Canis lupus familiaris: one gene and its partners. The protein of the gene in region 1 binds, or shares a complex with, the protein of each later gene. Links are inferred from orthologs where the notes say so. Each region holds a gene or a part of one and is shown in the gene's direction. Other genes may lie near its edges. The genes, in order: WDR5, KANSL3, YEATS2, KANSL2, CXXC1, SGF29 and DR1.

Region 1 (4,015 bases):
GTCCTTCTTCATCTTGTGCTGGTTTGTTAACTTCTGTAACAAAGGTGGCCCAAGGTGACTAGGCTCCCAGGAACAGAGATCCACACAGCGCCACGCCAGGGCCAGAGACTTGGCGCCACACGATGCTCCTTGGGAGTGGCCTGCAGACCAGCAGCCTGTCTCAGCTTGTGTCCTGGACAACCACACACCTTGTTCCCTGGGCATTTCCTTTTTACATGATGTCCTCTTGTTAGCACAGGTTCCTGCCACATATTTGGTGTTTCCGTCCTTAATTGGGAAATAAGACTGCAGGTGATGCTGCCTGGGATGGGGGTTGGGGCCTGGGAGCTGAAGACTGCCTCCAGGACTGTAAGGCCCGCGTGTCGTTGTCGTGTCCCCCCCCCCCCCCCCAACGGGATGAGAACACACAGGACTTGGGCCAGAAGGCGGGCTGCAGGCTCTCCGTTTGCACGAGCCCTCTCCTCTGGGGTTCCCCTTCCTCGTGTGTACCCGGCCATGACAAACTGTCCTGGAGCCCACCTTGCAGACAGCAGAGCGGCCTGCGCCTGGTGACTGCCGGTAGGACGGCCCTGCACTGTCCCTGGCCGGGGCTCTCTGCCGGTGGCGGTGGCGGTGGCCGGCAGACCGCGCAGGAGAGCTGGGGGTGGGGGGGGGGGGGCGAAGCGCAGGGGAGCCGGCACCCTCAACCTTGCTGGCTCCGGTCCTGGCTTCCGGGGCGGGCATGCGCGGAGACACCAGCGCCGCCGGCTGCGGTGCACACGGGCTGCGGCGGTCAGCTGCGCGCCACGGCGGAGAGGGGCAGCGATCCCCGAGGGAGGGTCTCCCACGAACCCTCGGGCCCTGCCTCCCCTGCACGCCCGGGGGCGAGCCCTGCTGCTTTCTGGAGGCGCCGCTGCAGGCCGCGTTCAGGAGGTGAACTTTCGAGGGGCACACTGGCACTTTCCTGGAGGTATCATCATACTTCCGTTTTTAGAAAGTGCACAAGAAGGACCTGCACCAGCCAACTTTGAGGTTACCCCTTTGCACGCCGTCCCTTTAAGGCGTTGGGCCTGCCCCAGGCCTTGTGCCCCTCGCCGCTCCCCGTAGTGCCCCTCCGAGAGGCCGGCTTTGTGCACTCGCCCCGCCCCGCCGCCGCCCCGCCCCCCGCGCACGCGCACGCGCACTCCCCCCCCCCCCCCCCCCCCCCGCCGCGCCGCCTCGTCCAGCTCGGCCCGGCTCCCGCCCAGGCGGCGGCGACGCGACGCCCCGAGCGCCCGCCCCGCCGCCGCGGCCGGCAGGTAAGCGGGGCCCGCTGGGCCAGAGACCGCACACGGGGTGCGGGCGGGGGCCGACGCCGGCTGCCCCCCGGCCCGCCCCGCCGCCGCACGTGTTCCGGCGGGCCGGGCCCAGGTCCCGGGTCCCGGGTCCCGGGTCCCAGGTCCCAGGTCCCGGCCCAGCCCCGCCGGGGCCCTCCCGGTGCCGCGCCCGCGCCCCCACCGCCTCCCTTCCGGTGCCCACCCCGCGGCCCTCGCCCTCGCCCGCGCCCGGGCCCCGCGGCGACCCCTCCGCCTCCTCGCGGCCAGCCCCTCCCGAGCGTCCCCCGCGACCGCGCTGCGGCCCCCCAGCGGCCCGGTGACAGCGCGCGGGCCGGGCCGGGGACCTGCTGCTGCAGCCGGCGCGCGTCTCCCCGAGCTCTCCGCCGCTGCTCCGAAGAAAGAGCCCAGACCCGGCGGCGGGGTCCTGGCCGGGCGCGCGGACCGCGGCGCCCCTCTCTGCGGAAACGCCCCCCGCCGCGCCCTGCTGCTGACCCCCAGCCCGGGCGGCCGGGCCCAGGTGCGGCTCGCCCTCAGCAGCCGGGGACCCCGCTCCGCAGCGCCCCGCGCCGCCTGAGTGTGCTGTGCCACAGCCATTTTGGGTGACGGCAGAGACACTCCCTGTGGCCTTCTCATGCCGCTTTCTGCCCACCCAGGTCCCTTACCCGGCGCTTCGGCACTGGCAGCTGCTGTGCCACACGCTGCCTCCGAGGTCGGCCCGGCCCCCTCCCAGAAGGCAGATAGGTAAGCTGGGCTGGAAGCTCCGCGCGGAACAAACAGGCGGGGAGAGCGGCACACCCCGCCCCCTTGGTCCGGCCACCTGCGGGTCACCGGGTTACCTGCCTGTGGGCCAGTCTCGGGTGGAGTCCGGGGATCTGCATTTTACAAGCAGTGCAGGTGAGCACCCCGGTTTGGGATGGTCAGGCTCACCTGGGTGAAAGGCCTGTGAGGGCCCAGAGGGGTCAGGTGGCGTGTGCTCTGGAGGCCGGTCCCTAAGCAGCTGCCCCGTTGCTTTCCCTGAGCATCGCGGACAATGCAAGGCTTTCCCTCCTCTTGAATGGAAACTGGGGGCATGGAGTCAAGAAATTGCACATTAATGTTTTGCTAGCCCAAGGGATTGGCAGATTGGATTTGATGGAGCTGGGAGGGGTTCGCACACCTCTTCTGTGAGATTAGCTGTGGTATTCTCTAGTCCTCACCTTGAGGGCAGGTAGTTTGCTGGGAGTCACACTCCACCTCCCGGCGGGTCTCAATTTTTATGTTAAAAGGAGCAGCTCTGGGTTCCCTGAGCTGCCCAGGTCACCCCCAGAGGAAGTCTCTTCTGTTCCCACTGCTGTTTCTCCCCCACACCTCTCCTAGCTCTTGCTGATACCTTCTTCAGATACTAGGTTTTGTGAGTCAGTCTTTCCAGCTGTCTTCCATAGCTTCCCCCCGCCCCCCACTTGTCCATCCACCTAGAGCAAGGCAGCACTCGGATTAATTGGCATGACCGGGTTGCACTAAATTTACTCACAAACCAGCTAGTATTTGCTGAGCACCAGCTTTGTGCCAGCATTTTTGTATCTGGGCGTGATTATGTGACCTGCTCCAGGACTTGGCCTTTGGGTGCAGCAGGATCCATCCTTGGGCATAAGCCCAAGTCCTTGCTATATACAGGTAGCCAGTGGGACCACATCTGTGCTCTGCACAAGTATGTTGCATTGTAATTTCCCTTTTGGATAAAGACTTTAAGACGTGGTCTTTTTTTTGATGGACTTCCATTTTGCCTTGGTGTGACAAGGAGTCGTGCAAGCTTTCAGTTTTAAGTGCCAAGCTAGAATTTTACACCGTGTACACCATTAGATTAACAGTGGTGCAAGCTTCCAGGAATTGGATGACCAGTGATGTCTGCAAGAACACCATGGTGGTTCCCCCATTTCAGAGTCACCAGGTGTGCTTCTAGGAGACGCATCTAGGATCTGGAATCTGTTCCTGGGCTAGAGCAAATGAGTCGCTTGCTGTACAGCTTGGGTAGCTCCCATTGTCACGCTGAAACCTAATTGAGCTGCGGTCTTTCCCCTCCTGCAGCGAGAGCTTGCTTGCAGCCGATCTGTGTACACTTCAGGCTTCAGCAGCAGACAGGGCTGGCTCTGGTTTGCACTTCTCAGCTGTGTCTTGTAGTCGCCTCACGAGGGACAGAGCGCCTTTTGAGCTGCCAGGGTTCTGGAGGCGGCCTTGTGTCTACACCAGACGACAGGGAAGCCCCCTGGGAGATGCAGACCGCTGTGGGGCGGGGGGTGGGGGGTGGGGGGGTGTCTGCTCTTGTATATTTTCAAACGTGGTAGTTAAGCACTGTTGCATCACTTGTGAGGATTTGGACGAGTTCCCAAATTTCTACACCCTGAAGCTCAGTCTCCTGTAATTTGGGTTGGTTTAGGGTTGTTTTTTTTTTTTTTGTTACGTTTCAAGGGCTCTTTGAAGAAAATTGCATTTTGTTTGCCTGGCCTGAGCTGCATTCCTACCAGGAGGATAACAGTAGGGAGCACCCTTGAAGGTGGGGCCTTGGATTACATGGACAAAAGGGGCCTGGGCAGCCTGTCTTAGCATCTGAAGAGTATTTAGTGCAGACTTAGCTCCACAGATAGGTTCCTCATTTTGGAATAGTGTGTCTGCTCAGGGCCCAGCAAGGTGGGTGAAGGTTTTTCACCCTTTTTGCTGGGAATTAATTTTTAAAATATGGCTTG
Region 2 (3,500 bases), on another chromosome or scaffold:
TATACCCTGTGGCCTGGAGTAGCTCTCTGTGGCCCAGGCCAGGAGCCCCATCCCTGCCTGCCATCCTCATAGGACTATTGTTTTCCTCCCCACCCTACCCCTGATTGCCTATGCTAAAAAGAGGGCCTATGGTGGGCTTCTGGTTTTATTTTTATTTTTTAATTTTTTAATTTTTTTTTATTTATTTATGATAGTCACAGAGAAAGAGAGAGAGGCAGAGACATAGGTAGAGAGAGAAGCAGGCTCCATGCACCGGGAGCCCGATGTGGGATTCGATCCCGGGTCTCCAGGATCGCGCCCTGGGCCAAAGGCAGGCGCCAAACCGCTGCGCCACCCAGGGATCCCTGGGCTTCTGGTTTTAAAGAGAAGGGAATCTCTAAGGAAGCCTGAAGGATAACTTCAGATTCCGAGAGGCTTGGTCATGTGCAAGATGAGTATGTTTGATTCTGTGGAGGGGGAAGGCTATGTGTGAACAGTTGGCCTTTCTCTGTACTAGTACAAATGACCTGCGGACTACTTGTGACATGGGCCATTGTTGCCCTGTTGCTTTTGGGCAGGAGCAGTAAAGTTGTCTTGGCTAAGATGCTCCTTTACCTAGTAGCTACTCAAAGCCAGTGTCAATTCCTGGCAATAATTCTTCTTGTTGCCTTCATTTGGCAACCAAACACTCAACCTTGGGCTCTTAGGACAGAGTAGGACTCTGAGAGCCTGTGAAAATCTCCTCTGTAGAGAGGACTGGGTAGTGTGCTCCTCTACTACTGCTTTGTGGGATGTTTCCTGTACCCCAGCTATGTGATGTGGGGTGGGCCTGAAACAGGAAAATTACCACATTGAGTCCAGGAAGCATGGCTTAGGTCCCTTGTAGTGAGTCCTCTGTTGTTTGGCCTTTGGTAGGCAGGGTTAAGGTATCTTCTCCTTTCTTTTTGTTCCCACCAACTCAGAGCCCCCTACCTTCTGTCTCCAGAACAGGATAAGGGATGGGGATGGGGCTATCCTCTGAAAGGGCAAGGTGGCCTTGTACCACAGGTGGGACCTGAGTGAGGTGGGATTGAAGCATTGGCAGTTGCCTTTGAAGTGTGATTTTGTGTGTGACACACAGACATGCCCATGCTGGTGCTGTCAGTGTCTCTCGGGCTTTTTTGGATTGTGGAAGACCTTACCGCAGGTCCATCTCTTAGTTCCCATTTCATCAGAACAAACGGAAGAGGCAGAGAAAGAAGATCTTAGGGTCCAACTGAAGCGCCATCATCCCTCCAGTCCTCTTCCTGGCAGTAAGACCTCCAAGCGACCGAAGATTAAGGTATCCCTTATCTCCCAAGGGGACACAGCTGGAGGGCCTTGTACTCCTTCCCAAGGAGGAGTTCCAGAAGGTGAGTTTTTCTTGGCCTGTTTAAAAAAACTGAGCTGTCTCAAACCACATAACATTACTCTCTTGGTGACTACTTGCTGTACAACTAAGCCTCTGCTTCAGTGTAAGATGTGCCTGGAGCAGAGAGGACATGCGGTAGCACGTGGGACAGACATGGACAGTGACCTGATCTAAGCTAGGATCGGGGAGGCAGAACGAGGATCAGAGGGAGCTCAGGGGTCATTCAAAGTATCATTATATTTTGTTCTTTACCAGTTTCAGTTAAAGATAAGAAAATATTCCAAGGATGCCTGGCTGGCTCAGTTGGTAGGGCATGTGACTCCCAATCTCAGGGTTGTGAGTTTGAGCCCCTGTTGGGTATAGAGATTATTTAAAAATAAAATCTTAAAGTAAATAAATAAAATATACCAGAAAGTTTAAAAAATAGAAGAAAAATAGAACTCTCAACTCTCCCTATTCTACTGTACTTGATCTTCATTTTTCTTTGACCAATCTTTGTCCATAATATTTTGCATTTAGCCTAGGTTGTGAAACTCTGAATAGTAGGGGCCAGCCAGGACTGACTGGTGACCTTGGTGTTTTCTGTTTTGCAGCTGTGGGAGGGAAGCCCATCACCATGACGCTGGGGCAGGCTTCAGCTGGGGCCAAAGAGCTCACAGGGCTTCTCACCACCACCAAGTGAGTCTATTTCTTGGCCTCTCTGGCTCTGTTCCTTTCTTTCTCTTCACCTTTTTCCTGGTTGATTTAGTGCTTGGAAAGATGGTGGAGGTTGGATTTTGTCAGTTTGGAAATATGACTTCTTTCTTAGTGGGATCTTTGTCTTTTTTAGGGGGTTAGCTCAGAGGTTTGTTTTGTTTTGTTTGTTTTTTTATTTAAAGTTTGCAGAGCATCCCATAGCTATTGCTTCAAGGTTTGGTTTGAAGTTTTAACTTAAGGCCTGACTTTCAGAAGGACTAGAGACTGAATTCAGAAGGTGGGACAAGGAAACTCTGGGTTCTAGTGTTCATTACTATAAGCGTTGCTGGGCCCCACTCTGAACCCTTCCTATGTTGTCAGGGTCTGTTGCCCTCTAACCTTTGGATAATAGAGCTCCTGTTTTTGTCTCCAGGTCAAGTGCTTCTGAAGGGGGAGTCTCAGCCAGCCCAGCCTCCTCAGTGTCCAGCAGCACAGCACCTGGTGCCTTGCACACACTCCAGAGCCGTCTGGTGGCCACCTCTCCTGGCAGCTCCCTCCCAGGTATCTGGTAGCTCAGCATTCTGAGCCTCCCAGCAAAGTGTCTTTTGGGTTGCTGCTGGAGGTGGTCCTGGGAAAGCAGCTGAATCTAAAGAATGTTCCCCTGAGTTGGCAGGCTTTCATAGAGGCTTGATGTGAAGCTGGAATTAACTTTGAGGTGGGGGAGTTCTTGGTTTTAATATTCACAGCGAGTATATACCCCAGTCTGCAGGTAGTATCTCTTGTACTATAAGGAAGAGAAATAGCTGGTGGGAGATGTGTGTATTGTGTTCATTGTGGTGTTTTTAAACATATCTGATTGCAGAAAACTGGGGATTGTGGTGTACTAGCATTAATAAAACATAAACCGAGGCACCTTTCTGCCTCTGCTTGTCTCCTTGCTTTCACCACCTCACCCTACATATGATGGCTGATTACCTGAGCCCAGAAGGGCCAAGGCTCTGGAGGTGTCCTCTTTTAGGAGGACCTCCCTCTTTGCTTTGTGGCCTCTCGACTGTGTAGTGAAATGAAATCAGATATTTGGAATTCTTTTGGCTTAAGAAGCTGTCCTTTTCCCTGGAAAGGATGGAATTTAGATTTCTGAAAAGTGGGGTTCAAGCTCTCTTCGGTTTTCCTAAAACTGTCTAAAACATAAGACAGGTGGTTTGGAGCAGGTGGGGATATGTGGAGCAAACCCAAGGCAGTGTGTCTAGCAGAATACTTTTCTTCATGAGGGCATGCAGTGTGCATGCCCAGGGAGCCCTTCCTGGCATCTTTCCGAGAGCACTGGGGATGTCCCAGGAAAAGAGCAGTGGTACTTTAGTTGGCTGTGGAGGGTGGCTGAGTATGGCTGCTCTTGGGATAAGAGATTGAGCCTGTGCTGACATGTGTTATATCCTCTCCTAGGGGCCGCATCAGC
Region 3 (3,969 bases), on another chromosome or scaffold:
GGGTGGGGGGGATGGAGAGAGAGAGAATCTCAAGCTGACTCTCTGATGAGCAGAGCCTGAGGAGGGTCTCTATCCCACCACCCTGAGATCAGGACCTTGGTAGAAACCAAGAGTTGGAGGCTCAACCGGCTGTGCTAGGCAGGTGCCCCTAACAAATACTTTTTCTTTTTATTTTTTTAAGATTTTATTTGACAGAGAGAGAGCATAAGCACAGGGAGTGGCAGGCAGAAGGAGGCAGAGGGAGAAGCAGGTTTCCTGCTGAGCAGGGAGTGGACTCCATCCCAGGACTCTGGGATCATGACCTGAGCCTAGGGCAGATGCTCAACCCACTGAGCCACCTAGGCACCCTTCAACAAATACTTTTTGCATGCATGCTAAATTCTTTAGAACAATTTATTAAATTTAAGTACATCCAAAAAATTGATGACATAAATAGTATAAAAAATTATAAGTGAACTCTCTCTAAACCTACTACTCAGCTCCAGGGGTAAATTTTTACACAGTGAGTTGAACAGATTGAAGGAAGACAGAGACAGATCCCTGGAGAGCTGCAGCAGTCTTGGGCAGAGAGATGATGAGGCCTCAGGCAGGATGTTACAGGAAGAAAGAAAGGGAAAGGTGGGCTCAAAAGATACTTAGGATTTGATGGATGGTCACTCACTAGTTGTATAAACTAGTGAAGTCCCAACCTTTCCGAGCCTCAATTTCTGCATCTGCATAATAGGTCAGTGATAACTATTGTTATCCGTATCCCTAGCACCTAACACAAAGCTTGGCACAAGATGATAAACACACACAAATCATTACTACTGTTTTAGACCTGTGGGAGGTTCATCTACGCTGGGAGAATGAATATCGGTCTGTCAGACCGGAGGCTGGAACTCGCCATCTTCTAGGGAGGAATATGATAAATGACGGTGCCTCTGCCAGAACGGGCATCCAGGCTCCCCAGGCAGTGCGGCAGCACCAGTCCCCATCAGAGTCCGGCCGCCGCCAACCCCAGCTCCAGCCCTGCGCGGGGCCCAGCCCCCGCGGGAGCCCCGGCCCCGCCCACATCCCTGCAAGCCCCGCCCCCGGGCCGCGCGCGCGCCGCCGCCGCCGCCGCGCACGCGCGCCTCGCCCCGCCCCTGGTGCTGACGTGCGAGGCCGAGAGGGACGGACGGGCGGGCTCCGCCGAGCCGTGTGCTTCCGCGGGCTCCGGGGTCGCTGGGGCCTCGTGGCGGGGCGGCTCCGCGGGGCTTCGCCCGCTCCCGCACCTCCCTCGTGCCCTCTCGCCGCGCCCGGCGGGCCCTGCGCTTCGGCCGGAGACCCGGGAGAGGGTGAGTGTTGGCGGGAGCGGGGTCGGGCCGGCCGGGCGCGCGCTCCGCTCTCCCGGGCATTGTCTGGGCGGGGGCGGCGCGGGCACGTGCGCTCCCCTCCCCCACCCTGCCCGCCGCGCGGCCCCGGCGGGCGGGGGAGGGGGAGGGAGCCGGCGACTGCGGGCCGCCGAGCACCGCGGGGAGCGGGCCGGGTGAGCGTGCCGGTCGGGGGCGTCTCCGGAGCGGGAGCCTGCAGCTGCGTGTGTGGGGTCCTTCCTCGGGGCTCAGCGCTCTCCGAGGGCGGCGGGGTCAGGGACCCCCGGGGCTGGAGCTCTCGGCCTGTTGGGCTCGGTGGCCTGCGGTGGAGACGGAGACGAGATTTGGCTCCAGCACCGGCAAGTTGTGGGTTTACCGACAGGCACCGCGGAGTCTGCTTCCAACCTGTCGCCATCCTTACGGTCCTCCCTCGCGAAGGATGAGTGGGATTTAGAAAGGTTGGAGGATTTTCCAGGCATACGCTCCAGTTAGAAGCACCAGAGGCGTGACACAGTGCGGGGTGACAGCGGAAAGCTTGGGAAAGTGAGGACTTGGAGGAAAGGCTGGTTTGGTGGGTTGTGGCCGGATTGCAAAAGACAATGAATGAGGTTTATATCATAACCTTGTCTTCTATCGTGAGTGTAATCAGGGTAAAGAATAGAAAGTAGAGGAGGAAAATATCACCAAATAACCCCACGGCCCTGACACCTCTTTCTTAGTGTTCTGGATGTGTTTGCTGGTATTTTCATCTGAGCTTGTAACAGTTGCAATTAGAGTTTACTTACAATTTTCCATTCTCTTTTCTCCTTATGGTGTTAAAACGAGATGTAATATACAGTATTCGGCAGTATCCTTTATTCTTAATAAGCAAATAGCAAGTATTCATCATAGAAAAATGAAGAAATATAGACAAGCAAAATGAGGAAGAGTATTCATAGTTCTGCTGCCTCGAGATATTGCGTATTTTTGGTTCTGTATATTCTTTCAAAGATAGTGGGGCAGATAATGCCCTGGTTAGGAATTTAGTTTTCATACGAATCCTTTGAAGGTTTTAAGAAGGCAGGTAGCATAATCTGACTGCTCTGTAGAGGAAGAGGGTGAATATGGGAGCGGGGAGATCAGTTAGGATGCTGTTTGCAGTACCTTGAACTAGGTCCGTGGCAGCGAGATGAAGAGTACAGAGATTTAAACATTATTTTGGTTGTAGAATGAACAAGACTTGTGAGTGGGTTAGTGGGAAAATAGGAGACTTCTTTACTTTTTTTTTTTTTAATGTGTTTTTAAGGATTTGTTTATTTGAGAGAGAAGGATTGCTTGAGTCCTAGAGAGCAGGAGGAGGGGGCAGGGGTGGGGAGGAGAGAGAGAGAGAGAATCTCCAGTAGACACTCTGCTGAGCGCGGAGCTGAAGTGGGGCTCTATCTTTTGGCCCTGAGATCATGACTTGAACTGTCAAGAGTCGAATGTTTAACATACTCGGTCACCCAAGCACCCTTTTATATATTTTTTAAAATTAAGTTAAACTCTCTTCCCATCCTGGGGCTTGAACTCAGGTCTCTGAGATCAAGAGTTGCATCCTCTACTTACTGAGCTAATCAGATGCCCCAAGAATTCTCTCTCTTTTTTTTTTTTTGGTAGTTGTTTTGAGCAGCTATGGGTAGATAGTGACATTTACTGAGAGGGAGAAGAATGGAAGAGAAACTTGAAGGGGGAAAAATCACGAGTTCTGTTTTGGGTATATTAAATGTGAGATGTATATCAGTTATGAAGTTGGTATATTGAGGAAATTGGATGTGCAGGTTTAGAGCTCATGGAAGAGAGAGCTAGGAGCTGTTAGATAAAACTTTGGAATTCATTACATAGATGATATTGAAAGGTATGGGACTGCATGAGATCACCAAGGGAAAGAATATAGATAGAGAAGTGAAAATTGACACTTGATCGCTAATACTTCGAGCTGCAGTATGGGAAGAAGATTGAACATAGAATGGAAGAAACAGCCAATGAGGTAGGGAAAAAAGGCAGAAGACCAAAAGGTGTCATGGAAGCCAGGAAAAATAAGTTCAGAGAGGATAGAGGATGTCCATCCCTGACTTTGAGATGTTTAGTGAGATGCTCAATTGGATTTGGAGGTTGTTGGTTTTGTTATTGGTATTATTATTTTTAAGATTAAAAAATTTTTAGTGATCTCTACACCCATCGTGGGGCTTGAACTTAAAACCTGGAGATCAAGAGTCTCATGTGCCACCAGCTGAACCAGCCAGGCACCTCTGGTCATTGTTATTATTATCCAGAGTTCTAGAAGTGGGAGATGGAAACGGGATTGGAATAATTAATTGATTGGGGCTTGAGGAAGGGAAGATAATGAGTGTGGATTAGAAAAACCTGGGCCTTTTTCGAGATGCCTTATTTCCATCTGCTCCCAAACTAAATTTGGTAGGTGAAAAATGGTGTCTTGTTTAATTTTTCATTCATTGATTACTAGAGTGTTTGAACATTTTTTTGTTTGTTTGTTTGAACATTTTTTAACATATATTTGCCATTGGTGATTTTCTGTATCCTGTGTATATCTTTTTGTGTTTATCACTTTTGGGAATTGATTATCAAGAGTCCTTTTAGATCTTGAAAACATGTAGTT
Region 4 (4,246 bases), on another chromosome or scaffold:
GGGATCATGACCTGAGACAAAAACAGACAGTTAACCAACTGTACCATCCAGGCACCCCTCCTTTTTTTTTTTTTTAAGGTTTTATTTTTAAGTAATCTCTGCACTCAATATGGGGCTCCAGTTCACGCCACCAAGATCAAGAGTTGCATGCTCTAGCAATTGAGCCAGCCAGGCACCCCTGGTTGCAGATTCTGATTCCCATATTTTCCAGCTAGTTTTGAGTTGTAGAGAGTTTATAACAAATGTCTTCTTTGTATCCCTTCTGAGGGTTGGAGCGTTTGCTTATGTGTATATATCATCTTTTCTGTGGATACTATGTTTGTATTTGCATCCACAATCTGAAACTGCTCTAGAATGTTTACTCAAAAGAACAGGGTCATCTCTCTTGTTCTCTCTGTATCCCTAGTGCCTAGCACTTAGGTTCTCAAGTATTTGTTGAATGAATGAATGAATGTTCAGAAAAGGGCCTTCTGGGGACACCCTAATCTGGAAATGACATCTCTTCTACCTCCCCCTCTACCCCCCTCCTTTGTTTTAATCACTTCGTGTGCCTAAAGTGTAGTTGTCCAGCATTGTAGATTCTCTATGCACACTTGCAGTGTGAATCATACTCATCAGCTCATTGTTGCTGGAGAAACCTCTTAAATGAAACTGACACTAGATAAACGTTGTAAGGCTGGGATGCAGAAAAAAGGTCCAGAAGGGTTACAGGGAGAAATTGTTGGTTCCTTTCTACAACAGGTGGGGTGGAGATGAAAAAAAAGATACTTTTGCTGAAAAATCGTTAAAGTATGATAAGATTGGGATTGTCTGCTGTTTCTCTATACCTGCATTAGTTAGCATGAAATTGTAGAGAATTTTAGAGAAGTAGGGTCAAAACCAGAACTCCTATTTCCTTATTCTCAATCCAATGCTCTATGCTACATGAGAGGCAATTAAGGGATAAGGAATGAGAGCTGGGTTCAAATTCACCTCCCTTTTCCATTTACTAGATAGATAGAGAGGCCCATTCTGTTCCTCGGTTATCTTATCCGTAAGATGGAGATAACAACCTCGGCCTCTCAGGGTTTGCTCTGAAAATCAAGTGTTTAAATATGAAACTTCCCAGACTCCGTAAATACTCGTTTCAATAAATGACCTGCTCACTAAAGAAAATTACAGCCTTTTCCTGTATAAACAGTAGGAATCAACTGTACAGTGACCTTCCGGCCTCTGTATGTCTGAGTTTTTGCAGCCGCGGGGCCGGGGTGGTCGGGGGAGTAGCCGCCTCGGACCACGCAGCGGCCAAGCGCAGCCCGAAAACCAGCAACGCCGCGCTGGCGAGTCCCGCGGTGCGCGCGTGCGCGCACCGGGGGGGCGGAGTCACTGGCTGACGGACAGTTCGTTTTAGCCACCCCGGCCGCGCTGTCTCTAGCGCCCCGCCCCCTCAGGCGTGATAGGTAGCGGGCCTCGACCAATGGTGACGCACAGCCGTGGGCACCGTAACCAATCAGGGGTTGGGAGCCTGGAAAGGAGCGGGGCCGAGTTAGAAGCGGCTGGCGCGGCCAGAGGGCTGAGCGGCGCGGCGCGGCGCGGCGGCAGAGGTAAGATGGCGGCGGGGCTTCCTCTCGCTTCTGCAGTTAGGCAGCCGCTTCGCCCCTCGTGCTGTCTCCGAGCTGCTGCTTTGTTTCAGCCAGCGTCGAGGTTGCTCTCTTCCTATAGGCTCCCAGAAGCCAGATTCTCCCGTGCCTGGAGCCAGAGGACAAAATGGCGCTTGCACGGGCGGCCGGGGACGGGCAGGGCCCAGCCGTGAGCTCTGAGGCGGCCGGGACAAAGGCGGCGTGCGGGGAGGCGGAGGCCGGGCGCGGTGCTGCGGCGTGGCCGGCGCTCCCTCCTCGTGCGGCGGCCGTGCGAGACTGGGAGGCGCGCGACGCGCGGGTGGTCCGGGTGGGGGAGAAGTTGCCGTGAGACTAATGGCTGCGAGGAGGGGGGCGGGGGGCGGGGACCTACGGAGGGAGACTTGGGCCAGCCCTTTGGAAACTACCCGCGCGGGCAGCCCGGATGTTGTGCAGCAGGAATTTTCGGGAGGGCTAAGGGCTTTCTGATCTTTTGTGTGACCCTGCAGGTTTTGGTATGAATAGGATTCGGATCCACGTCTTGCCGACCAATCGGGGGAGGATCACCCCAGTGCCCAGGTCTCAGGAGCCCCTGTCTTGTTCATTCACTCATCGCCCATGCTCGCAGCCTCGTCTGGAAGGGCAGGAGTTTTGCATTAAGCATATCCTAGAAGACAAGAATGCACCCTTCAAGCAGTGCAGTTATATATCGACGAAGAATGGAAAAAGATGTCCCAGTGCTGCTCCAAAGCCCGAGAAGAAAGATGGGTATATATTTATATATATATATATATATATATATGTACAGATCATTTATGTCGTGTGTACTTTGAGTTTTAAAGGGAGGAGGGGGGTGGGTGGGATGAGGTATATCGTGAGGTTGTGAATAGCTGGAGTTTTATTTTTTTTTTATTTTTTATTTTTTAACTTTTTTTTTAATTTTATTTATTTATGATAGTCACAGAGAGAGAGAGAGAGGCAGAGACATAGGCAGAGGGAGAAGCAGACTCCATGCACCGGGAGCCCGACGTGGGATTCGATCCCGGGTCTCCAGGATCGCGCCCTGGGCCAAAGGCAGGCGCTAAACCGCTGCACCACCCAGGGATCCCCATAGCTGGAGTTTTAATGTTGAAAACTGGAAAGAGGGCCACTGACTTCATACCTTTTAGACCTTTTCTTTTGTCTGTAAAATAAGGGGATATTCTAGATTATTCTTACCCACCCACCCCCCCCTCCCCCGGGGTCCCCTGGCTCTTTGGGTCATGACCCTGAGCCTCCTTAAGCTGTGTATACGTGTATTCTTCTGGGAGAGGCTTTGTGGCTTTCATCATAGAAGCAAAAGTATTCACGCAGAAACAGAATTTGGCTAGTTAACTCTGCATGTGTAGTTTGGTTTTGAAATTGTGCCCCACGTCTTATTACCCACAGTGGATTGATAGCTGAAGTAAAATACAGAGTTGCCAGAACCAGTTTTGAGAGATGAAAGTGGATCTCTTTGATTTGTTCTAAGATGATGTCAGCATTTTTTATAGTTGAAATGTTTGGTTTGATGAATGAAGCACCAGGTTATGCTGCCTGCATTTCTGCTTGGTAATATATAATGAGCTGACCTTGGGCCGGTTAAATTGCTCTGCCTCACTGGCCTTTTTAATTTATAAATGAAGGTAATGCTCATTTTAATTTTTTTTTAAAAGATTTTCTTTATTCATGAGAGAGAGAGAGGCAGAGACACCGGCAGAGGGAGAAGCAGGCCCCATGGAGGGAGCCTGATGTGGGACTCAATCCTGGGACTTCAGGATCAGGCCCTGGGCTGAAGGCAGGCGCTAAACCACTGAGCCACCTGGGCTGCCCTCATTTTAATTTCCTAAGAATGATCTAAAGATTAGTGACTAAGAAAATGGTTGAACTCTTTGAAGAAGAAGGGACTGGAGTATAAATGTTAATATTTTTGTCTCCTTAGGGTGTCTTTCTGTGCTGAACATGCCCGTAGGAATGCCCTGGCACTTCATGCTCAAATGAAGAAGACCAATTCAGGGCCTATGGGTGAAACACTCTTGTGCCAGCTGAGTTCTTACGCTAAGACAGAGCTGGGGTCTCAGACTCCAGAAAGTAGCCGCAGTGAAGCCAGCCGAATTCTGGGTAAGGATCTTCTCCTAGAATGAAAAAGGAAAAAGTAAGTTAAAGAACTTGTTTTGGGTAGCACAGTGCCTTGTGAATATACATGGCATGTGATAATAATGTAATTCATTGACAGTTTGGTGAGAATTCCAGGATTGCTGTGTTCACCAGTTCTTTTCAGTTTGAAGTAGTGTGTGCTTGGGTTTATTTTTCTGAGTTTTTGATGATTTCCTTCATTGTTGTTTATGCTTGTCTTTGTGAGGCAAGGTAATTTCAGGAAGCAAGAATAATTTTGAGTTGACCTTTCTGCCCTTTTGAGGGCAAGGTTACCTTATTTATGTTTTAAGTAATCTTACCTGGGTTGTATTTTTTCAAGCCAATTTTATTTGTCAGTGCCTTTGTACTAAGTTGTTGGGGCTTTTTTTGTTTGTTTTCTTAAACGTTAAGGTTTGGGTTGATGTGTTAAGTAATCTAGTTTTGTGTGGTGGAGTTACGGAGGTGGGAAGTCTTAATGGCTGCTCTCCCTTCCTTGC
Region 5 (4,113 bases), on another chromosome or scaffold:
ACCCGATGTGGGACTCGATCCTGGGACTCCAGGATCGTGCCCTGGGCCAAAGGCAGGCGCTAAACTTCTGAGCCACCCAGGGATTCCCCTGAACTAATATTTTAAATAAAATTAAATTTAGTAAGTCAAGTCAGTGATGTTAAATTAAATGAGTAATTAATTTAAGTTAAACTTGAACTATATTCCCTTAAATTTACTTTCATACATCAAATTGTAATTAAGTTAAAATTGAATTATTTGAAATTTATTGGTTAAATTTATCTGAGTATCTTACCAACACATGCATATTCATTTATACTAACTAAAGTTAATTTAATACATTAAATGAACTAAATTCGAAGAATTATGTTAATTAAAATAAGTTACAATCAAATTAAGATTAATTCAGTATTAACTAGAAAAAGGAGGCAAGTCTGGATCTGAAGGTCCACTTTGTGGATTAAAGACGGGCTTTAGGGGATCCCTGGGTGGCGCAGCGGTTTGGCGCCTGCCTTTGGCCCAGGGCGCGATCCTGGAGACCCGGGATCGAATCCCACGTCGGGCTCCCGGTGCATGGAGCCTGCTTCTCCCTCTGCCTGTGTCTCTGCCTCTCTCTCTCTCTCTGTGACTATCATAAATAAATAAATAATTCTAAAAAAAAAAAAGAAGAAGAAGAAGACGCGTTTTAAGGAGAGAGGGTCACACAGTCCATGATGCAGCTCCTGTGACTTCGGTTGTCTGTGACGGTGTGGAGGGGCCACGAGTAAAAATGTCTAGGAAAGGTGAAAACAAAAACAAAAATCAGACCCGACACCGCCCTCAGGAGAATCATCAGGAGCAAGTACGTTACTATGATGTCCAGAGCCAAGAAATCCAGAACGACTGTCAGCACCCGGTGACAAGTTTCATTTTCCCCAGGCCCCCCGCCCCCCCAACCTGAATAGAGTCGTGACCCTGAACGCGGACATTCCCTGTGACCCGGGCTCGCGCATCTGCTGGGGGTTGGGGCGGGGGCGCTGACCCGTTAAAACCCGCCCGACCGCTCAGGTTGCCTGAGTTACAGCCTGGCCTTAAGGACGTGTCCAGAGCTCCGACCTGTCCGGTTTTTTTTTTTTTTTTAAATGTACGGAGTCTAATTAAAAAATTGTAAGAACTAACTTCATAGGAGAGAATTGAGTATGTCTGATGGAAGAGAGCCAGAGTGGACGTCACGGGGATCCCGGCGAATCCACATCCCGGCGGTGGCGGGGTCAGGGGAAGACGCGGTGTAGCCGGTGTCTCGGGTTCCGGGGTCTGCTGTGGCTCGGCCCCTTGTCACCAGGGTCGGGCCCTTCACCTGCATCCTTCCGTTCGGAGGGTGACCGCGCTCCCGCAAGGGCCGAGGCTGCAGGGCGCCGGGCTGGGCTGAGGACCTTCGAGGAGGACCCGGGGCGCGAAAGGGTGGTGAGGATGACGTCAGACACAGAACGGGGGAACATGGGCACAGTCCGCTGGCGCCCCATTAACACACGTGGGAGGGAAACGTGAGTGAATGGAAGACGGAGTGTAACTCGAGGCACGTGGTGTTTCGGGAGCAGCCGCTTTTCCTTTGAACTTCTCTGCAGGGCAAGCCGCCATCGTACGGAGTCGATGCCAAAATGGCGGCGCCCTCCTGGAGACCGCGGGTAGGACGCTGCCATGCATTGCCCGTGAACGTACGGACTCGGCCATCTTACGGAATCAGTTTCCAAGATGACGGCATCTGCGTGGAAGCCGCGCACAGGCGCCGCCATATTTCCTGTAACGTTGAGTCCGTACGAGCGGCCACCGTACGGAGTCGGCCGACAAGGTGGCGGTGCCCTCGCGAAAGCGGCCACATAGGTGCGGCCATGTTTCCTACTAGTTTACGGCCCTGACCGCCGTACGGTCTTGGTCGTCAAGATGGTGGCGCCTGAGAGACCGTGGCGGCTCTAGGCGGCGGATCGACTTGTTTGGTGCGGAGCCGACGCATTAGTCCTGCGCAATAAGAGTACGGTGCCCGGGAGGCGCGACCAAAGCGGAAGTAGTTGTGGGCGCCTTTACAACGGCCGCGGACGCCGCCGAGAGGTCTGTGCGGGTTCGCGGGTCGCTGGCGGGGGTCGCAGAGGGGTGCGCCGAGAGCGGAGAGATGGTAAGTACGGGGCCGGGGAGGGTCGGCGGTAGGGGTCGGCGGGTCGGCGGCGGGGGGTCCGTGGGCAGACTCGGGGGGTCTGTGGTGAACCGTCAGGGGCGTCCGCGGGCGCTCGGGCGGGGGCCTGTGGGGAGCCTCAGAGGGGGCTGCGGGTGGAATGTCGGGGTCCGGGGTTCCGAGCTTGTTCCGACGTGTGAGCCACCTGGGAGTTTTGTGACGGGCCCCTGCGCGGCTCCGTGATGGAAGTTAGTGGGGACGCCTTTCGGCAGCTCGTCGGGGGCCCGCTCGGGGACTGCGGGGCGGCGGGACCCGGCGTCTGGGCTGAGCCTGCCCGGCGGCCCGTAGCGAGCGGGGCAGTCGGCGTCGGGCCGGCGGGGAGGCGCGAGGGGGCGGGGCTGCCCGGGCGCTAGTGACCGTGACCGCGACCGTGACCGTGAGCGGGGCGGGGCGGGAGGTCGGGGTGCCGGCGTGGGCCGGGCCGGGAGGGTCGCGAGGAGCCGCGGTGGGAAGCGTGGGCAGACGGTCGCGGTCTGTGGAGGCCGTGGTGGGGCTGCTCTAAGGCACCGTCCCGCAGGAGGGGGACGGCTCCGACCCAGAGCCTCCAGACGCTGGGGAGGACAGCAAGTCGGAGAACGGCGAGAACGCGCCCATCTACTGCATCTGCCGCAAACCAGACATCAACTGCTTCATGATGTGAGCCGGGGAGAGGCGGGCGGGCTGACGCCGGCGAGGTTGGGTGAGGCTGATGGGTGCGGCCCCTCACATCTGCACCACTCACCCCATCCTCTGCAGCGGGTGTGACAACTGCAATGAGTGGTTCCATGGGGACTGCATCCGGATCACTGAGAAGATGGCCAAGGCCATCCGGGAGTGGTACTGTCGGGAGTGCCGAGGTGAGGGGGCGGCCTGGACGGGGGGCACACCCACCTGCCTCCAGGGAGAAGCCTTCAAGGAGGGTGGGTCCCGGGCCGAGGGACTCGGTTTGTGGTGAGCTGCAGCGGAGACTCCAACGGGCGCTTGGCTAGAGCGTCCCCCAGCGGGGTAGCCCTGCCCCGGAGGAGTGACGGGGAGAAGGTGGGGGGGACCAAGATGAAGAGGAACCCTCCGAATCCCTCAGGGTCCACCCACCCTGGCCCCACTGTCTTCCCCACAGAGAAAGACCCCAAGCTGGAAATCCGTTATCGGCACAAGAAGTCACGGGAGCGGGACAGCAATGAGCGAGACGGCAGTGAGCCCCGGGATGAGGGTGGAGGGCGCAAGAGGCCTGCCCCGGATCCAGACCTGCAGCGTCGGGCGGGGTCAGGGACAGGGGTTGGGGCGATGCTTGCTCGGGGCTCTGCTTCGCCCCACAAATCCTCTCCACAGCCCTTGGTGGCCACACCCAGCCAGGTGAGTGGCTGCTGGGGCTGGGATAGGTAAGCTGAGCCTCCCGCAGGCCCCGTACACGTTCCTGATTTTTGTACTGGGCCTCTCCCCTCAGCATCACCAGCAGCAGCAGCAGCAGCAGCAGCAGCAGCAGATCAAACGGTCAGCCCGCATGTGTGGCGAGTGTGAGGCCTGCCGGCGCACCGAAGACTGTGGCCACTGTGACTTTTGTCGGGACATGAAGAAGTTTGGGGGCCCCAACAAGATCCGGCAGAAGTGCCGGCTGCGTCAGTGCCAGCTGCGGGCCCGGGTGAGCATGGGTAGAGCTGGGCAGGGCTGGGGGTGTCAGTGTGTCCAGGAAAGGCTCGTGGAGGCCAGGAGGGGGCAGGCTGGGCGGGTGAGCTGGGGCCTTGCTACACACAGACAGGTGGGAAGGAGCCTGGCCTGTGTAGGTGAACAGGGCGTGACCAGGTGTGTGGGGCTAGCAGGGGCATCCCCGACCCCAGGTGGGCAGGGCAGACCCCCCCCCCCCCCCCCCGGCCATTTTCAGCGGTCAGGCACGTCAGGGCAGGTGGAGCAGGGTTGAGCATGTCCTGGTGATGTGAAGCGGGGGTACTAGG
Region 6 (4,128 bases), on another chromosome or scaffold:
CAGGAGAAATAGCTCCCGAGACCTCTACAAAGGCAAAATTTGTGAAATCCTTGTCAACATCAGCTTCATAAAATGCAGGATATACAGCTGAGATGGGATAGATGGTCATGCCATTCATTGACAAAGAGACCACACAAAGAAAAACAACCTTGATGGGAAAAATAAACTGATGTGTTAGTTTGGGGCTGAAATAGTTTGTGTTGAAGTCTGAGATTCTTCTAAGTGCATACAAAAATGTTGAGGGCCCATTATCTGCTCTCATAGGTACTAGGAATGTGCTGGGTAATGAGAAAACAGGTGAACAAAACAGATGATTCGAATCTTATTGAGCTGACAAGTGAATCAAATAAACGATATAGGGCAGTCCCAGTGGCCTAGCAGTTTAGCGCCGCATTTGGCCTGGGATGTGACCCTGGAGACCCCGAATCGAGTCCCATGTCGGGCTCCCTGCATGGAGCCTGCTTCTCCCTCTGCCTGTGTCTCTGCCTCTCTGTGTGTCTGCTGTCATGAATAAATAAATAAAATCTTTTTTAAAAAATAAACGATATAAAATGTAATTTTAAACTTTGATAGGGGTTATGTAAGAAATTATAAGACATTTACTAGAATGTAAACTAATGTAGTTTAATGTTTACTCACGTCCTTAATACGGTCCTGAGAAGATTCCCTCAAAGTGCAATTTTTGGGTCTACAGATCTGTTTTTTTTTTTTTTTTAAGATTTTATTTATTTATTCATGACAGTCACACAGAGAGAGACACAGACAGAGGGAGAAGCAGGCTCCATGCAGGGAGCCCGACGTGGGACTCAATCCCGGGTCTCCAGGATCGCGCCCCGGGCCAAAGGCAGGTGCCAAACCGCTGCGCCTCCCAGGGATCCGATCTGCTTTATTTTTAAAAAACTAAACATACACCTAACTCTGAGAAATGAACAAGGGGTAGTGGAAGGGGAAGTGGGCGGGGGGTTGGGGTGATTGGGTGATGGGCACTGAGGGGGGCACTTGGCGGGATGAGCACTGGGTGTTATGCTATATGTTGGCAAATTGAACTTCAATTAAAAAAAAAACAACTAAAAAAAAAAACTAAAAAAACCATAGAGCTAAAAAATAAAATAAAAAAAACTAAAATAATAAACTACATCTTTTGGGGCAGCTTGAGGTTTAAAAATTTTTTTAAATTATCTTATAGGCTTTGGGGAATGAGAGAGGATACTAAAAACACACAAGGACTCTGGTTTCTTAAGTTCCCTTAGGGCATCGGGCATAGACTGATAAAATAAAAACTACATTTCCCAAGGAGCAGCGCGACACGTCACAAAGGAAGGACGGCGCATGCGCGGAAAGGTTCGCGCTGCGACTAGCTCGTAAAAGGGAAAAAGCGTGTGTAGTTCTCGACGTGCCGCGAATCTTCGAACGCAAGCGCGTTACGGTACTCAGACTTTGAAAAACATTCGAGGGACGCGCCCGCGGCTGCCGTCGTAATTTCCAGCTCGACGTGCCTATTCCGTGGCTTGGCAGGTGGGGATGGGTCGCAGTCTGGGGCCCCCGGGGAATGGCGGGAGCGGAGGGCCGGGGTCGCCCTCGGTACGTCCCCATTCCCGGGCCTCGCTGGGGCAACTCTCGGGGGGCGGTGCGCACGCGCCCTGGGCGGGGAGAGGCGGGGCTCGGGGAGGGGTGGGGCTGCGGCGGCGGTCTTTGGGCTCTGCGCATGCGCTGGCCGGCGCGGCGTGGAGGGGAAGCGGGCGTTCGCCGTGCGGGGCGCAGAAGCCGCAGAGGCGGCGGAGGCGGGGTCTTCAGCTCAGGTGCGAGAAGACGGCAGCGGGGTTGAGCCCCTTCTAACGAGACAACTTCATTCGCCCTCCGGAGATTTCCAGTTGCCTCCTCATCTCTCGGCGCCCGTTTGCAGCGTGAGGCTTCAGCCTTAGCTGGCGCCTCATCTCCAGGTCTCTTTCGAACCCGCTCTAGTCTAGGCCCCCAGCGCTCCACTAAAATAGCACTTGGTGGAAACCGCCAGTGACCTCTCGGTCGCCAAAGCTAGTGTTCAGTTCGTTCTCACCTCTGTAGCAATGGCTGATGCGCTTCATCACTGCCCTTTCTTGAAGCACTTCTTCGTTTGATTTGTAGGACATTCTCTTCAATTTTTTTTAAAGGTTTTATTTATTTATTCATGAGAATACACAGAGACGAGAGAGAGAGAGGCAGAGACACAGGCATAGGGAGAAGCAGGCTCCACGCAGGGAGCCCGATGTGGGACTCGATCCCCGGACTCCAGGATCACGCCCTGGGCTGAAGGCGGCGCTAAACCGCTGAGCCACCCGGGCTGCCCAATTTTTTTTTTTTTTTTTAATATTTTATGTATTCATGAGAAACACAGAGAGAGGCAGAGACCTAGGCAGAGGGAGAAGCAGGCTCCCTCCCTGCGGGAAGCCTGATGTGGGACTGGATCGCAGGACTCTGGGATCACGACCTGAGCCGAAGGCAGACACTGAGCCACCCAGGCCTCTTAAACATTCTCTTCTTTAGCTTCAGCTCTCTGGTTTCTCCTCTGCTGATTTCTTGTTCCTCGTCCCTATCTTTAATGGTTATACTCCCCCGCCCACGCCCTCATCCTAAGCTCTTCTTTGTGTCCACTTCCTAGGAGCTATCCATTTCAAAACTATTTTCTTTTTAAAAATATTTTCTTTATTTATTCTTGAGTGCTAGAGAGAGAGAGGTAGAGACAGGCAGAGTCTTGTAGGCTTCCTGCAAGGAGCCGGAGGCAGGACTCGGTTCTGGATCCCGGGATCATGCCATGAGCCGAAGACAGACGGTCAACCGCTGAGCCACCCAGGCGTCCCTATTTCAAGGCCTTAAATAGAAATACTATCTATTGTGCTCTCAAATGTCAATCTTCGACCCAGTGCTCTACCTCCAAGACCAGATTTTTATATTCAGCTTGCAAATGACATCTCAAAGTGTCGAGTCGGCATCTCAAACATGTCCAGAACTGAAATTTTGAGTTTTACCCCTCACATACCTTCACCACTTTCCCCAGTCTTCCCATTTTTCCAGTTGTTCAGGCCAACTCAGGCCAAATACTGATATATTCTTGGTGTTTTTTTGCAGCCTGGCCCTGCCCCCCCCCTTTTCCTTCTCCAGTGTATTAGTGTGTATGTGCCCTTAAGGCTTTGAAGTTTCACTACTGAGTGTTCTGTGGATATTCTCTTTGGCACTTGGTCATTTTTGCCTGAGAATTTGTGTTTTCCGTTCTTCAACATTACCTGTCATCGTTTATTCAAATTTATCCATGTATCCTGTTTTCTATGTCCTTTATAAGGTATTTACTTCACCTACAAATAAGTATATGGAACTACTTGTTTAATGTCTGTTCCTTTCTGGACTGTGAGTTTTGTAAGCAAGACAGGGACTCTTTGTCTCATTCACTGATGTATATTTCTCATTCCTAGCATAGAGTAGGTATTTGACAACTATTCATGAGTGCATTTATACAGGGAAGTATCTATAATATCAACTAATTGGGGTACCTGGGTGGCTCAGGTGGTTAAGCATCTGACTTTTGATCTCAACTCAGGTCTTAATCTTGCAGTCATAAGTTTGGGCCCTACATTGGGCATAGAGCTTACTTTTTAACCTGCCCCCCCCCAAAAAAAAAGGGGACAATTTTTTTTTTCCTGGGGTTGGAGGGAAGATAGTGAATAGCCCAACTTAAGAATTGTTGAGAGACTATTTTAAGAGATTTCCAGGATTCAGTTTGGTTCAGTAATGTATTCTGAAGACTTAGTAGGTGCTAGGCCCTGGGCTAGTTTCTGGGAATATAAAGACGAATACAACTGCATGTCAGTCTTCTAAGAGCTCGTGGTCTGCAGGAGAGATAAGTAAGTGAAACAGTCTCTCAATGTATGTGTGACAATGCAAGAACAGAAGTTTGTATACCATGCTTTGAAAGTTTTGACTGCCCTTGGCATCAGGGCAGATGAGTGGGGCCTGGGGCAGCCAGATCCCCCTGCCATTCTTTTCCAGCTGTGAGCAGCTTTGCCTTTTACCTGAGTGTGCCACACAAATGTTACCAGAAATATTTTGTACTGTGTGTGCTGTGGTGTGAGAAGGTTGGCAAGTACAACTCTTGAAGTG
Region 7 (3,500 bases), on another chromosome or scaffold:
TTCATAGATTTTCAGGATAATTTGAAGGTTTTCTAGGTAGTTTGGTGGAGACAGGTGATTTGGAGACCCTACTCTTCCGCCATCTTGCTCCTCCCCCCAGTATTTCAGTTTAATTTGAAGGAAGAGTGGAATTTCGATAGGTGAAAAATAGGAAATTTCAAATAGAATGAATATCAGCATAAGGTAGTGAAAATGGGGAGGGTATGGTGTATATGGGCAACATTTTATGTTCTAGATTTTTTTGGAGTACCAGGTACATATTACAAAAATTGATTTGGGAGATAGATTTGGGCAGGCAGTAATTTGGAGGACCTTGAACTCTAAGCTGAGAAATTGGACTTAATTGGTAACAGATGATTTTTTTAAAGTATAATGATGGTCTGATTAGAATTCTCCTCTAGAAATGTTTGGATAATAAATTCAAGACAGATTATTAAGAAAAATCAGGAATATACAGGGCAAAATCTTAATGTTAGAATTATGCTGAGTACTACCATTTCCCACAAAACATTCATTCAGAAAATACCAGAGCCTATGTGTTGGGAATGCAACAAAGAGTATGAAAATAGTCTTTATTCTCAAGGCTAGTGGAGAAAAAAGATACATGCTCAGATAATTAAAGAATAAAGTAGGTAGATATGAGAATGCATAGAGAATTATGGCATATGAAATAGAGTGTACAATATGACCTAGAAGGATCAAGAAAGACTAATTTCTGTTTTAAATGGTAACTCGGAATTGGCGGGTACGAGCCAGGCTTAAGTAACAATTCTGAGAAAAGGCAGAGAAGGAGAAACAGCATTGTTTTGGTAGAATCCAATATGATCTATTCAGGAACAGATTCATTCGTTCCCTGTTGGTGTGATTTTTCTAAAGCTAATAGATAAAATTAAATTGGGAAAGAGCTTTTAGCTGTTGCAACAGTGTGTGTAATGCCTATATGTGTATCTTAGTTTCTAAAATTCCTTATTTTATTAAGAATAAAGCTTTAAAATATAAAGCCTTATTTATTTGTTTATTTAAAGTAGGCTCTATGCCCAGTGTGAGGCTTGAACTCTTGACCCTGAGATCAAGAATTGCATGCTCTACTGACTGACCCAGCTAGGTGCCCCAGTTTCTAAAATTCTCTGATGGTTGTGGAGAGGATATATCAGAGGAATGGATCTTAACTATCTCACTTAAATTCAGTTCTGGATAAGTGCCTTTTCTCTAGTATGTATATGGGAAGGGTATATATGTGTGTACACACGTGTATGTATTTATGGGGCAGGGGTTCAGAGGAGAAATGTGTATTTAGGGTAGGGAACTGTAAGAGAAACTCAAACTATCGGAGCACCTGGGTGGCTCAGTCAGTTAAGCATTCAGCTCTTGATTTTGGCTCAGGTCATGATTTCAGGATTGTGGGTTAGAGCCCTGCACTGGGCTCCGTGCTGGGGCAGAATTTGCTTGTCCCTCTCCCTCTGCTTTTCCCCCCTGCTTGAGTGTGTGTGTGCTTTCTCTCTTAAACAAACAAATAAATAAGTAAAATCTTAAAAAAAGAAACTCACACATCAAGGTAGCTATTGCATTCATATTTATTAGTACTTAAGAGTTAGAGGTACTGTACTAGACAACTTTTAAACCACAGAAATAATTTTTAGATTGAAAAATGTTTACGTGTTAATTTTAAGTTGAGAGGACAAAAGAATCAAAACAAAAGGAATGAGAAGCAGGAAAGGAACCAAAAATCTTTCTGCCAGCTCTTTCAACTTCAGTTGAACCAAAGGTCATAAAATTATGTGGCATAAAGGGTACTGCCTGTAAGAGAACCAAGTTTTGGAAACTGTCCTCAGCTGACAGAGAGGCAATGGTCTAACTATATTTTCTTAAAGAGTTCATATTCTCCAGATGTGTAACAGTTATATAGTGGTTGGAAAATATCCAAATTTGATAACTAAGTATGTAATTGGCTTAATCTATATTTAACCAAAGTGAGTATGTTGTGAATTTAAAAAAAAAAACTTTGTTTTTATGTTTTTGGTGTTTAGGCTAGACAGCAGCAAGCAGAATTGGCCCAGCAGGAATGGCTTCAAATGCAGCAAGCTGCTCAACAAGCACAGCTTGCTGCTGCCACAGCCAGTGCATCTAACCAGGCAGGATCTTCTCAAGATGAAGAAGATGATGATGATATCTGAAATTTACCAGCTGAGTTTCTATTTCCTCTATAAATGTTTTTCCCTGCACAAGAAAACAGTGAAAGAAATGCTTATCTGTAATTTTGTATGCATCTTGGTGGACTTGCCATTGGTATTCTAGGGATGTCTGCTGTTAAGTTTCATCTATTGTGTGCTATTCATGTAAAAACTGTCTCTTTGAACTATTGAAAATTTAAGGTTCAGTATAATATCAATTTTGAATTTTTAATGGTGTTTATGAAATTTTAGATAGCAGTGAGTCCTTTATTTGATCAATAAACAGTGTTACAGAAAACGTCAAGTTTATAAAATACAGTAAAATTTATACAGAAACTCTAAATCTGCATTTGCATTTCCTCTGCCCTTTTAACTAAACTAAAAATTGGGAATTTTAAATTATTGGGGGGAGGGTGTTGTGTGATGCAGTAGATGTTAGATCAGGTTGGTGAAAAAACAAAGAGTTCAGTTTTGTAGTATCTGAATTTTTTGTCTTTTAAAATGGGTATATATATATATATATATATAGGCAATAAATATATATGCTCAGATAAATATACTTGTTTAAAAAAATCTCAAAACATTCAAAAACTAGCAAGGAGTATGTTCAATAGTTGTATAAATTCAGTGGGTTATGTTTTTGATTTTGTTTTTGTTTTATGTAGAAGTGAAAACTACAGTTTTATTATGGCATAATTCATCTTGAGCTACACTATTACATTTCAAAGACTACCCAATTTTGAGGACTGTCATGATTCTTACTATTTCACTCCAATAATTGTTAATAGTATTACTTGCTCAGTCCATCCATGTTTATTGGACCTTGTGAAACAATTGCTTAGGTTCCATTGGTTTAAAGGAGATTCATGAATATTCAGACCTTTGCTGGGGGAAAGAAATGAAAGTTAATAAGCATGCTTACTGTAAAAGAGGGATTTTTTTGTAATTTAACTTGTAGTTATAGTTTACTTATTGTTTGTTTTTAGCATTACTTTTACATTTTCTTGACTAGATGGCCTAGAGTGTCCAGTGCTTCCTTTTGAAATGGCATCATTGTCTCCATCATAATTGAGTGATAGCTTTAAAAATGATTGGTTTTATTTTAAGAAAGTGTGTCGTAACTGATCAGCCGTATATGAAACGTAAATAGTTTCAATCTACTCATTAAAAGGGAGAAGCTTTACTTTGGTTCTAATAAATAAAGTATGGTAGTGATTTTTACAGGAATCCAATGTGTTGAAGAAATGACATATTGTTTGTATTTTGGAAACAGAATGGAAAAGCCACTAAAGATAGTATAAAGTAGTCTAAATTCCTATGTCAGTTGCC

The links.
Region 2: WDR5 (region 1) and KANSL3 share a complex: the UniProt entries of both Homo sapiens proteins name them as parts of the NSL complex. The link is inferred for Canis lupus familiaris from reciprocal best matches to the Homo sapiens genes WDR5 and KANSL3.
Region 3: WDR5 (region 1) and YEATS2 share a complex: the UniProt entries of both Homo sapiens proteins name them as parts of the ADA2A-containing complex. The link is inferred for Canis lupus familiaris from reciprocal best matches to the Homo sapiens genes WDR5 and YEATS2.
Region 4: WDR5 (region 1) and KANSL2 share a complex: the UniProt entries of both Homo sapiens proteins name them as parts of the NSL complex. The link is inferred for Canis lupus familiaris from reciprocal best matches to the Homo sapiens genes WDR5 and KANSL2.
Region 5: WDR5 (region 1) and CXXC1 share a complex: the UniProt entries of both Homo sapiens proteins name them as parts of the SET1 complex. The link is inferred for Canis lupus familiaris from reciprocal best matches to the Homo sapiens genes WDR5 and CXXC1.
Region 6: WDR5 (region 1) and SGF29 share a complex: the UniProt entries of both Homo sapiens proteins name them as parts of the ADA2A-containing complex. The link is inferred for Canis lupus familiaris from reciprocal best matches to the Homo sapiens genes WDR5 and SGF29.
Region 7: WDR5 (region 1) and DR1 share a complex: the UniProt entries of both Homo sapiens proteins name them as parts of the ADA2A-containing complex. The link is inferred for Canis lupus familiaris from reciprocal best matches to the Homo sapiens genes WDR5 and DR1.

The regions. Positions count from the first base shown.
Region 1 is NC_049230.1:50,406,207-50,410,221, forward strand, and holds the start of WDR5 (WD repeat-containing protein 5), read left to right. Parts: upstream 1-1,215; 5' UTR 1,216-1,277; intron 1,278-1,948; 5' UTR 1,949-2,036; intron 2,037-2,042; exon of another isoform or gene 2,043-2,189; intron 2,190-4,015.
Region 2 is NC_049231.1:46,404,935-46,408,434, forward strand, and holds part of KANSL3 (KAT8 regulatory NSL complex subunit 3), read left to right. Parts: intron 1-1,178; coding exon 1,179-1,370; intron 1,371-1,962; coding exon 1,963-2,047; intron 2,048-2,477; coding exon 2,478-2,605; intron 2,606-3,487; coding exon 3,488-3,500. UniProt on the Homo sapiens protein: Non-catalytic component of the NSL histone acetyltransferase complex, a multiprotein complex that mediates histone H4 acetylation at 'Lys-5'- and 'Lys-8' (H4K5ac and H4K8ac) at transcription start sites and promotes transcription initiation.
Region 3 is NC_049255.1:16,824,854-16,828,822, forward strand, and holds the start of YEATS2 (YEATS domain-containing protein 2), read left to right. Parts: upstream 1-1,169; 5' UTR 1,170-1,319; intron 1,320-3,969. UniProt on the Homo sapiens protein: Chromatin reader component of the ATAC complex, a complex with histone acetyltransferase activity on histones H3 and H4. YEATS2 specifically recognizes and binds histone H3 crotonylated at 'Lys-27' (H3K27cr).
Region 4 is NC_049248.1:40,821,200-40,825,445, reverse strand, and holds the start of KANSL2 (KAT8 regulatory NSL complex subunit 2), read left to right. Parts: upstream 1-1,446; 5' UTR 1,447-1,456; coding exon 1,457-1,583; exon of another isoform or gene 1,584-1,788; intron 1,789-2,104; coding exon 2,105-2,363; intron 2,364-3,555; coding exon 3,556-3,734; intron 3,735-4,246. UniProt on the Homo sapiens protein: Non-catalytic component of the NSL histone acetyltransferase complex, a multiprotein complex that mediates histone H4 acetylation at 'Lys-5'- and 'Lys-8' (H4K5ac and H4K8ac) at transcription start sites and promotes transcription initiation.
Region 5 is NC_049228.1:78,682,965-78,687,077, forward strand, and holds the start of CXXC1 (CXXC-type zinc finger protein 1), read left to right. Parts: upstream 1-1,313; 5' UTR 1,314-2,125; coding exon 2,126-2,128; intron 2,129-2,702; coding exon 2,703-2,821; intron 2,822-2,920; coding exon 2,921-3,021; intron 3,022-3,281; coding exon 3,282-3,517; intron 3,518-3,608; coding exon 3,609-3,803; intron 3,804-4,113. UniProt on the Homo sapiens protein: Transcriptional activator that exhibits a unique DNA binding specificity for CpG unmethylated motifs with a preference for CpGG.
Region 6 is NC_049227.1:18,372,763-18,376,890, reverse strand, and holds the start of SGF29 (SAGA-associated factor 29), read left to right. Parts: upstream 1-1,328; 5' UTR 1,329-1,515; exon of another isoform or gene 1,516-1,580; intron 1,581-1,745; exon of another isoform or gene 1,746-1,799; intron 1,800-1,805; exon of another isoform or gene 1,806-1,940; intron 1,941-4,128. UniProt on the Homo sapiens protein: Chromatin reader component of some histone acetyltransferase (HAT) SAGA-type complexes like the TFTC-HAT, ATAC or STAGA complexes.
Region 7 is NC_049227.1:56,185,042-56,188,541, reverse strand, and holds part of DR1 (protein Dr1), read left to right. Parts: intron 1-2,027; coding exon 2,028-2,174; 3' UTR 2,175-2,183; exon of another isoform or gene 2,184-3,500. UniProt on the Homo sapiens protein: The association of the DR1/DRAP1 heterodimer with TBP results in a functional repression of both activated and basal transcription of class II genes.